Linked DNA regions of Caenorhabditis elegans. The protein of the gene in region 2 interacts with the protein of the main gene of each other region in a pairwise test. Each region holds a gene or a part of one and is shown on either strand. Other genes may lie near its edges.

Region 1 (7,201 bases), on a different chromosome or scaffold from region 2:
AAACTTGCCAGAAAATTTCCATTCCGAAAAATTGCCGGTTTGCCAAACTTGCCAGAAAATTTCCATTCCGAAAAATTGCCGGTTCACCTAACTTGTCAGAAAATTTCCATTCCGAAAAATTGCCGGTTTGCCTAACTTGCCAGAAAATTCAATTATGGCAATGTTGCGATTATCGTTTTGAAATTCTGAAATTTCCAGAAAATAAACTTGCAAACCCACAACTTGCCGAAGTGTTTTTTTCCGGCAAATTGCCGATTTGCCGCACTTGCCGGAAATTTTCCTTTCCGTCAAATTGCCGAATTGCCGGAAATTTCAATTCCGGCAATTTGTCGATTTGCCGGAAATTTACAAATTCGGCAATTTGCTGGTTTGACAGAAAATTTCCATTCCGAAAAATTGCCGGTTTGCCTAACTTGTCAGAAAATATCCAGTCCGGCAAATTGCCGGTTCGCCGAACTTGCCGGAAATGTTCCATTCCGGCAAAAATATTTAGACTACAAGGAGAATAAATGAATAAGAACACATTTTCAAAAAGTACAACCATCGGATAAATTCCATAATTTATTTAACAACAGATTCTTTATCATCATTATCATTTTGTAACAAACACAAATTATCAGCAACAAAACGGCACAGCTCTTCCAAATCCAAAGTTTTATTGTTTTTAATTAGTTGATCTAACATGTCTTTAGGAATTGAGGTGACTAGGGGAGCAGCTTTTGGTACCGTTTGCTTAACATATTCGTCTGCCAACTCGGCAAGTTTTGTCTCACGATGATGCTCCTGTAATAAGTTATTTTTAAAAAAATATTCTGGAAAAATTTACAATTTTATTGGGAAATTCTAAAAAATGAACTAAAATTACATGATTCGTCTCGAAATAAAATTTTTTTCAACTAGAACTTTAGGCTAATTTAGGCCAATTTTTGAGCATTCTCCCCAATGTTTCAGTTAACGGGATTTTCTTCATTTTGACTGTTTCAGGTAAGAATTTATATAAACGAACATGTTCATGTGCAGATATTTGATACAAATGCTGTCTCCACTCCATTTGCTGCTTTGCTCGGATTTTTCGGGAACCTAAAGTCCCAATTACTCCGTTTTTTAGACGTAGGTCTTCAGCAGCTTTTTCAAATTCTTCTCGAGCACTGGCGAGCCTCTATAATTTGGTTAATAATTTTAAAATTGACTTTTCAAAAGAAAAAGTCGGAAATTCAGAAATTCCACAAAAAAAGTTTAAAAACGGGATTTACAAACTAAGGAGAACTCCCCGACCAATCACCATCTTTGAACTACGCCCACTCGATCTGATTGGTGGAAAAGTGGGCGGAGCAAATCGCTGATTGGTCGCAGTTCTCAGTTTTGCATTTTTGAAAAAACTCAAACTAAAGTAGGACTTTTTTATTTATTCGCTATTTTTTTGACAAATCGGCAAATCGGCAAATTGAAAAATTCCGGCAAATCGGCAAATTGAAAATTTTCGGCAAAACGGCAAATTGAAAAATTCCGGCAAACCGGCAAATTGAAAATTTCCGGCAAATCGGCAAATTGAAAACTTCCGGCAAATCGGCAAACTGATGGAATTGAAAATTTCCGGCAAATCGGCAAATTGCAGGAATTGAAAAATTTCCAGCAATTCGACAAATCAACAAATTGCCGGTATTGAAAGTTTCCGGCAAATCGGCATATTGCCGGAATTTATAATTTCTGGCAAATCGGAAAATTGCCGTTATTGAAAATTCCCGGCAAATCGGCAAATTGCCGGAATTGAAAAATTCCGGCAAATCGGTAAATTGAAAATTTCCGCAAATCGTCAAACTTCAGGAGTTGAAAATTTCCGGCAAATCGACAAATTGCCGGAATTGAAAATTTCTGGCAAATCGGCTAACCGGCAAAATAAATTTTCGGCAAATTGGTCACTTTTTTTTTGAAATTTAGAGAAAAAACCTACATGAAAATTCAAATTAACAGTTTCATCCTGTGCAAACATTTCAGCAAACTTCTTATTCAATTCCATTTTCTCATTTTCATATTCCAATTTCAGCCGTTCTACTCCAATTTCTGACATCATTTTTCTCAAATCCACTGCAAAATTCGCATTTTTCTCTTTTATCGCCGTTTTATTTTTGAGAAGTTGAATGCGTTTTTTGATTTGATTACTTCGAATTTCCGCATGCTTTCGTTGATCTTTTTTCTTTTGAACACACTTTCGGGCGTACTCACGGTTTTTGGCCATTTGACGGTGACGTTCCTGAATAATTTGGATTTAAAATTGATATTCTTGCCAAAGTTGAAATTTCCGGCAAATTGGCAAATTGCCGATATTGAAATTTCCAGCAAATCGGCATTTTTTGTCGAAAATCAAAATTCCGGCAAATCGGCAGTTTTTTGCCGAAAATCAAAATTCCGGCAGATCGGCAGTTTTATTGCGGAAAAGCAAAATTTCCGGCAAATCGGCATTTTTTTTTTGCTGAAAATCAAATTTTCCGGCAAATTTTTTTCGGGCAAAATTGGGAAATCGAAAAATTGCCGGAATTGAAAATTTCCGGCAAATCGGCAAATTGATGGAATTGAAAATTTCCGGCAAATCGGCAAAATCGATGGAATTGAAAATTTCCGGCAAATCGGTAAGTTTCAGGAATTGAAAACTTCCAGCAAATCGGCAAATCAGCAAACTGCCGGAATTTAAAGCTTCCGGCAAATCGGAAAATCGGTACATTTTCGGAATTGAAAACTTCCGGCAAACGGCAAATCGGCAGTTTTTTTTTGCCGGAAATCATAATTTTTTGCAAATCGGCAAACCATCAATTTGCCGATTTGCCAAATTCGTCGACAAAAAAATTTGCTGAGCCCCAATTGCTATCCTGATTTGAGTGAGGCTTTTCAGAAAAATTTGGAAATTATTTTCAGATATAACAAATCTTTTTCTACACTACAAAAAATAGGCGTTAGGCGGGCATGTACATCTAACCTAAATTTTGTACTAGAAGTTGTAAAAAATCCACACAAACCTGTTCTCTCTTGTCCATCTTACTCGGATCTTTATTCAATTTCTTAAATTCCTCTTCCCACTCCAAATCCCCATCTGTATCCATCTTTGAGTAGCCTTCATTGTAATTATTATCAGTGTACTCATCTTCTATATCATCCAACATCTTCGCCTCTACTTCTTGTTTTATCTCCACTGGACCCATGTTTTGCAGTTGGCTCATTAAAAAGTTGAATACAAAGTTCTGGGAGCCTGACGATTCATTGTTATCTGACGACTCGTGTTCCAGCTTTACCGAATTCTGGTTGTTTTGCGTGGAGTCAAAGTGTTTTAGAATCATGTCACGACTGCCACTTGTTTCGTTATTCATTCTGTAAAATTTGGAATTTTTTGGTCTTGTCTGAAACTTTCGGGCCAGGCCCAATTGTGCATTTTAAAAAATTTTTCGCATCGTCTTTCGCTTATTGGTTCCTCGTCTTTCGCTTATTGGTTCGCGACTGTTTTTGTAACGAACTTATGAGAAAGTTTGCTGATTCTTATCAAAACACTAATTTTGCCGATTTGCCAGAAATTTTGATTTTCGGCAAATTGCCGATTTGCCAGAAATTTTAAAAGGGATTTTTCAACATTAATGTAGGAAAAAAGTTTGCCGATTAAAATTGAAATTTTGAAATTTCCAAAAAAAAAGTGCAAAATCATAATTTGCCAAACATTTTCGGCAAAAGGCGTTTTTCCGGAAATTTCGGCAAATCGACAGTTTGCCGCTTTTCCGATTTGGCGGAAATTTTTAATTCCTGCAATTTGCGGATTTGCCCGATTTGCCGGAAATTTCAATTCCGGCAATTTACCGATCTTCCGGAAATTTTAATTCCGGCAATTTGCCGATTTTCCGGAAATTTTCAGTTCCGGCATTTTGCCGATTTGCCGGAAATTTTTAATTCCGGCAATTTACCGGTAATTTTTAGGTCCGGCAATTTGCCGATTTGTCCGATCATCCGGGAATTTTAATTCCGGCATTTTACCGATTTAAAGGAAATTTCAATTCCGGCAATTTTCCGATTTGCCGGAAATTTTAATTCCGGCAATTTGCCGATATGCCCGATTTGCCGGAAATAGTTAATTCCGGCAATTTGCCAATTTACCGGAATTTTTTAATTCCGGCAATTTACCGGTAATTTTTAGGTCCGGCAATTTGCCGATTTGTCCGATCATCCGGGAATTTTAATTCCGGCATTTTACCGATTTAAAGGAAATTTCAGTTTCGACATATTGCTGATTTTCCGGAAGTTTTCAATTCCGGCAATTTGCCGATATGCCCGATTTGCCGGAAATAGTTAATTCCGGCAATTTTCCGATTTGCCGGAAATTTTAATTCCGGCAATTTGCCGATATGCCCGATTTGCCGGAAATAGTTAATTCCGGCAATTTTCCGATTTGCCGGAAATTTTTAATTCCGGCAATTTGCCGATATGCCCGATTTGCCGGAAATAGTTAATTCCGGCAATTTGCCAATTTACCGGAAATTTTTAATTCCGGCAATTTGCCGATTTGCCGGTAATTTTTTATTCCGGCAAATTGCCGACTTGCCGATTTCGCCAAACGACAATTGCCACCCACCCTGTTTTGGACGCGAGATATACATACACGTCGCCAGCAACCGGCAATTGCCAAAGTTTCTGCAACCGGCAGCTTCTGGTTGCGGAAACTTCGGAACTTCGGCAATTTGGCCCCTAATGTAAGAGCCCTGATGCCCATCGTGAACTCACTGATGCATTCAGGAATCTACAGTAATCATCAAGGGCGGAGCTTGATCCTTCCATATTTTCCTAACCAAAATTTCAAAACATACCTATCCCCAGTTCCTTAGATTCAAAATCGTCGTTGTCAGTCAAAAAAAAGGCAAGAGACCAATGGTGGGGGAGACAGTGTGTGTGTGTGTGTGTGTGTGATAAGAGAACACAACTTCTTGCTAAGAAGAGTGAAGACAGTGAATGCATGATGTTTGCCTGCATCATGACATCGTTTGATTGTATTGAATAGAGGAGGAGGGCAGCATCAAAAAAATGAGAAATAGTCAGAGGAAAGATGTGAGAGCCTTAGAGAAAACAGAGTAGGAAATACTGTGCGACATACTTGGTATCTGAGCAGTGGTTGAGACAGTGGGGGGGGGGGGGGACAGTGAAGGTGATTAGCAAGATTGATAAGAGACTGTTGATGGGGGATGGGCACTGATTGCTGTAATTTCCAATACATCGCAATTGTACATTCGATGGATGTAAATGCAATTGACAGATTAATTAGGTATTATATTGTATAAAAATGGGTTGGAAAGGCATATCAAAAGCTGAAAAAAGGTATCTATAGAAACCCATTCCAAAACCAAATTTCAGAAGCATCACGTGGTGCTAGGCTGTCCCATTACGGTTTGATCTACAAAAAATGCGGGAATTTTTCGCCCAAAAATATGTGACGTCAGCACGTTCTTAACCATGCAAAATCAGTTGAGAACTCTGCGTCTCTTTCCCCGCAATTTTTGTAGATCAAACCGAAATGGGACGCAATGAAGCATTACAATGAAGCATTACAGCGAAAAATGAAAGATAAATCTTTCCAGGACATGTAGCAAAAGCGGTTCTGTGGCTCGAGAAAGGTTTGAAAAAATGAAGAACAATGTATTCTTGAGCAGAATCCATGTAATATTTTGGTAGTTGAAACCCTGATTTTAGAATTTATCCAAATGAATTCTCGGAATTTTCAGTTTTAATAATATAATTCATTAGATTCACAGTGAAGTGAAACCTGATTAAAAAAGGATTAAAGGACGAAATATAATTTTTGTCTGAAGCCTACAGGAAAAATGTTTCATTGTTGAAGTGGAAATTTTCATTTTCGACAATTTGCCGGTTTGCCGGAAATTTTTGTTTTAGACAAATTGCCGATTTGTCGGAAACGTTCAGTTCCGGCAATTTGCCGATTTGCCGGAAATTTTCAGTTACGACAATTTGCCGATTTTCCAGGAATTTTCAGTTCCGGCAATTTTCTGATTTGCCAAAAAAAAATTACGGCAATTTGCCGAGTTGCCATTTGCCGGATATCAGATTTGCCGGAAATTTTTAGAGGGGTTTTTTTAAAGACGGAAACACTTAAAACTGTGCCTTTTTGAAAAATTCGTTTCCTGTTATGTTTAGATATTTTCATAGAACTTGCTTTTTTATTTTGACAAAAATTTCCGGCTATTGCAGTTTTTCAATCCGGCAAATAGACGATTTGCCAATTTGCCGATATGCTGTAAATTTTCAAATCCGGCAATTGCCGTTTTTCTGGCCAATTCGGCAAAAAGACATTTTGCCGATTTGCCGATTTGCCGGAAATTTTTAATTCCAGCAACTTGCCGATTTGAAATGTGTTTTCCAAGTCTACATTTAATGATAAAGTATAGAAAAGTATTTGATTTGATTGAAAACAACTATAATTTGGATTGGAAAAACTGAAAAAGTGCTGAAAGTTTATCTGGAAGTTGAAACTGCTCGAAAAAAAATGTAAACCTTTAAAAAAATTTTCGAGGACTTTTCAGTTTTTTAAATTTAAAGGGTGAAGTAATCTTTAGTAGTAGGAAAACTAGTTTTCAAAATCTTTCGTTTTAATAGGAATTTCAATATTTTATAGATTGACCAACCTAAAAAAGCTTTTTTTCATCAAGTTTTATTATCATATTGCATCCAGTTTTCCAGTTTTTTTTCTAGAATTCACTAAATTTATCAAAAATAGCGGCCCATGCAAATTTCCGGAAAATCGGCAAGTTGTCGGAATTGAAAATGTCCGTCAAATCGGCAAACCGGCGAATTGCCGATTTGCCAGAAAAACGGCCAAATTGTGGTTTAGCAAATTTTGTTTTGGAAATTTCAGAATTTCAATTTTGATTGGCAAAATTGTACACACCCTAGAAATGACCCTTCATCTATTTTGGAAAGTCCGTAAATTCTATGAATATATCTGAAGAAAATGGGAAACAATTCTTTAAGGCACGGTTTTAAGTGTTTCCTTCTTATAAAAAATCCCTCTACACACTTCCGGCAAATTCATATTACGGCAAATTGTCAAACCGGCAAATTGCCGGAATTGGAAATGCCCGGCAAATTGGTAAATCGGCAAATTGCACCTGTGAAAATCCTGAAGTTTCTGAACTTGTATGTTCACTTTTCTACTCAACTC
Region 2 (3,419 bases):
TCCTCGCTTCCTTCGAGAATTTTTGGAATACAAGCCGCCTGAACCGGCGTCGCAGTTTTAATTTGCATAGTTTCGAGCTGTTGGTTGATCCAGGAGCACACGCCGAGCTGGGAGAATTTCTTAGTTGTCATGTTGTCTTCGGAGATTTGAATGGGCTTTGGGGTGTCATCTGATGACTTGAATTCATCGCCTTCTTCTCCATCGGATTTTTCTTTATCTGAAACTTAGTTTTTCCTCGCCCTTGACAGCTTCTTCAATTTCCTCAAAATCTTCATTTTTCACGTTTCCTGAGCTAGGAGGCTCTTCCTGTTCTTCATTCATCTCCAAATCATCATCATTGTCCGGTAGAATTGCGTCTGGCATGATTTTGGCTGTAAATTCATAGAATGTTCGAGTTTTTTTTATTTTTAATTTTTTTGTAAAAATTAATTTTTCGTTTTTTCTCAATTTTTTGTCCGAAAAAAAATAAGAAAAGTTCGAATTTCTGTGTTTTTTAAGGCGATTGAATTTATGCAAGTCAAGTTCAGTCGACATCCCGAAAAATTCTGATCGACGTCGAAACCACTCCAAAAGCTATGTTATAGTTTTATTACAACTGTAATTATTAAAAAGCAAAACGAATTACACATGAAATTATTGAAAAATTAATTAAAACGAGGTATTAAAGAGATGGAAATTCCGTTGGATCCAGCATCCCTCGATTACAAGCTGGACAAACGCTCTTTTCCTTGAACCATTGGGAAGCGCACTGAAAATTTTGAAATTTATTTATGAAAAGGTTTTTGAAATGAATAATCTTACATCGAGATGAAACCGACGTCTACACGAATTGCATTTGATAGTTTTTTCAGTCGAAATAACGTCGTCCAGACAGATAAGGCATCGAGCATCTGATAGCTCGGCGCTAGAGCTTGAAATTGATGAAGAAAAGGAGACTGACGGGATGGATCCTTTTTCGCTGGAGGTTGAAGCTTTGAGCTTCTCTGCGCCATTCAGAAGAGCTTTTTCATATTCTTGCATAAACGAATCCGAGAAGGATGGAAATTCCGGAAGCTTCTTGAGCTGAATTCGAGTAGAATTGTCGTTTGACATCAGAATCTCTTCAATATTCTCATCCAACACTAGCATGAAATTCTGGAATGCTCGATTGAACTTGATCAGCTCGTATTTCGCGGCACGCATCGTAACTTCATCTGCCGATAGTCTGAAAAATACAAATTAAAATTTTAGTTGAATGCCGTAATTAAAAATACCTGGCGACAAGTTCCGCGGCTCGTCGCATTGGATTTTCCTTCAAAATCAAATTCCTCGTCGATTCTAGGCCTTCCAACGTGTTTACCATGATTTCCAATCGATAAACTCTAAAACTTAATATATTCTGGGAAAAATAATATTTTTAAAACCAGTTAACGACAAAATCACACAGAGAAAGCTGCACAATTCAGAAAAGATCCGAAAAATCGATAAATCCAGCGTGGCAAACAAAACGTGGGCCTACCGTACCGCTTCAAGGGACATGGTATAATTCTTGCACGGGTTTCGCAACGATTGAGTAGTTAATTAATTTAAATGGAGGTAAAATTAAGAATTTCGAATTTGTTGAATAATTTATATATTTTTCAATATTATTTCCAAAAAAAAAACAAATAAAATAAGGAAAATTTGAATTTAATTGACATCTTTCTGAACGAAAAAGCCAAAGCGGAAATTAAATCCTACCGTACCCATTTTTAAAGGCGCACAAAGTTTTATCGGGCCAAGATCCCGCCGCGTCTTTGAAATTTCCAGGCACAGAATTAAAAATAAAAGAGGTTTTAAGAGGAAACCACATGTTGAAAAAGGTTTATTTACAATTCCAAAAAAAACACTTTTATAGTAAAAATACAATTACTTGATGCTTGGCTGTGTTAGTTCCTCGTTTCGATACATATTGACGGTTTTTGAACAAGTTTCTCGAATTGAACGTTCCAAATTAAAGGGAATTATGCAAATTTCTGGATTATTCGGAAAAAAGTTTCACTGATGACTGAAAAAGGAGAAGAATAATATTGTTGGATAGTATAAAAAATGACAAAAAGTAGAGTGCCTAGTTTTTGTCTTTGTCATAAACCTTTGATATTTTTTCCAAGTCATAAATTATTTTTTTTCAAGTTTCTTTTTTTTGAAACTTTGTTTCAAATTTGTAGTTTTTACAGGAATAAAAATCTAGAGGCTTCCGATTTCGGATATGGCTATTGACCAAGGGACGAAAAATGTGCTCCGACTATCGATTTCATTTTTGCTCCTATTTTTTGCTTATATGAGTCAAGAATACATACAAGAACCACTTATCGAGGAAAAGCATAAAACCGGTGGGAATATTGATCCTCACGCCGGTTATCATAGGTTTGTCTCTTCTATATGGTCACTTTTTCAAAAGCAAAACTGATTTTAGTTTTGCTATAACTTACTTCTTTTTCACACTTTCTTGCCTATTTGTTGCTCCAATAATTGATAAGATTTCCGCGAAATGGGGAATGGTTCTGAGATTTTCGGCATATATTGCATTTCAATATGGATTTATACATATGAATACTTATTATGTGTACATTACTTCAGCGAGTTTGGGTGTCGGTGGTGCTTGTAAGTATGAATCAGGAGGGCTTCGCAAATGTTCTGAAACTTTCAGTCATATGGGTTGGCCAGGGAAAATATCTGACGGAAAACTGCACAAGTGAAACTATTGAACGAAATATTGCTCTGACTTGGTTCATTTTTAAGTTCTGGTGAGTACTTCCATCAATTCTCTGTACCATTTTGATTTTTCAAGCCTCCTCGGTGGTGGAATATTTCTCTACGTTCTGTTCTACAATCAAAAAATGAACGAATTTCTGGAATCTGGAGATGTATTGTATTTCCAACATCCATCTGTTTCTAATTCTGCCAATTTTCAGTACAAAACATTCGTCTATATCTGTTGTTCCATTTCTCTATTGGCGGCGATTAACACGGCATTTCTGCCACAATCAGTGTATGTTCCGGAGAGAAAGAAGCATGAGACGTTCGCGAAGACATTGAGTGAGTTTATGGTAGGTCGCCTTTATGCCTGCCTGCCTACCACCTAATCTAAATTGAGTGTGAGCACAATGTCACTGACTGAAGATTATTTCATTTTGACTGTTAATGAAAGTTCAGCTGCTCGGCAGTAGGCACATATACAGCCCATCATCGGGCAGGCGTAGGTTGTCAGGGAAGTAGGCAGATTTTTTTTGCTTTTTGCCTGCCTATCTATCTACCTAACAGTATGAGACCTAGTTTTGAAATGTTTTCCAAAATTTTTCGGAGTAGAGAAAATTGCGAAAAAATCACATTAAATGATATCAAGTTACTTGGTGACAATGTCAGCGCTATTCAAAAATCAATCAATGTCGTGACGGATT

The links.
Region 1: the proteins of Y52E8A.2 (region 2) and zip-12 interact in a two-hybrid assay, tested with the Caenorhabditis elegans proteins (one large-scale study listed by BioGRID).

The regions. Positions count from the first base shown.
Region 1 is NC_003281.10:12,325,623-12,332,823, reverse strand, and holds zip-12 (BZIP domain-containing protein), read right to left. Parts: upstream 5,158-7,201; 5' UTR 4,878-5,157; coding exon of another isoform or gene 4,839-4,877; intron 3,361-4,838; 5' UTR 3,360-3,360; coding exon 3,012-3,359; intron 2,252-3,011; coding exon 1,952-2,251; intron 1,160-1,951; coding exon 1,007-1,159; intron 784-1,006; coding exon 562-783; 3' UTR 550-561; downstream 1-549.
Region 2 is NC_003280.10:4,318,778-4,322,196, reverse strand, and holds Y52E8A.2 (RING-type domain-containing protein), read right to left. Parts: upstream 1,362-3,419; 5' UTR 1,343-1,361; coding exon 1,254-1,342; intron 1,205-1,253; coding exon 802-1,204; intron 749-801; coding exon 662-748; 3' UTR 580-661; downstream 1-579. Other genes in the region: Y52E8A.1 (RNA helicase), read right to left, coding at 1-131; Y52E8A.6 (UNC93-like protein MFSD11), read left to right, coding at 2,228-2,385, 2,435-2,622, 2,669-2,765, 2,810-2,885, 2,934-3,057.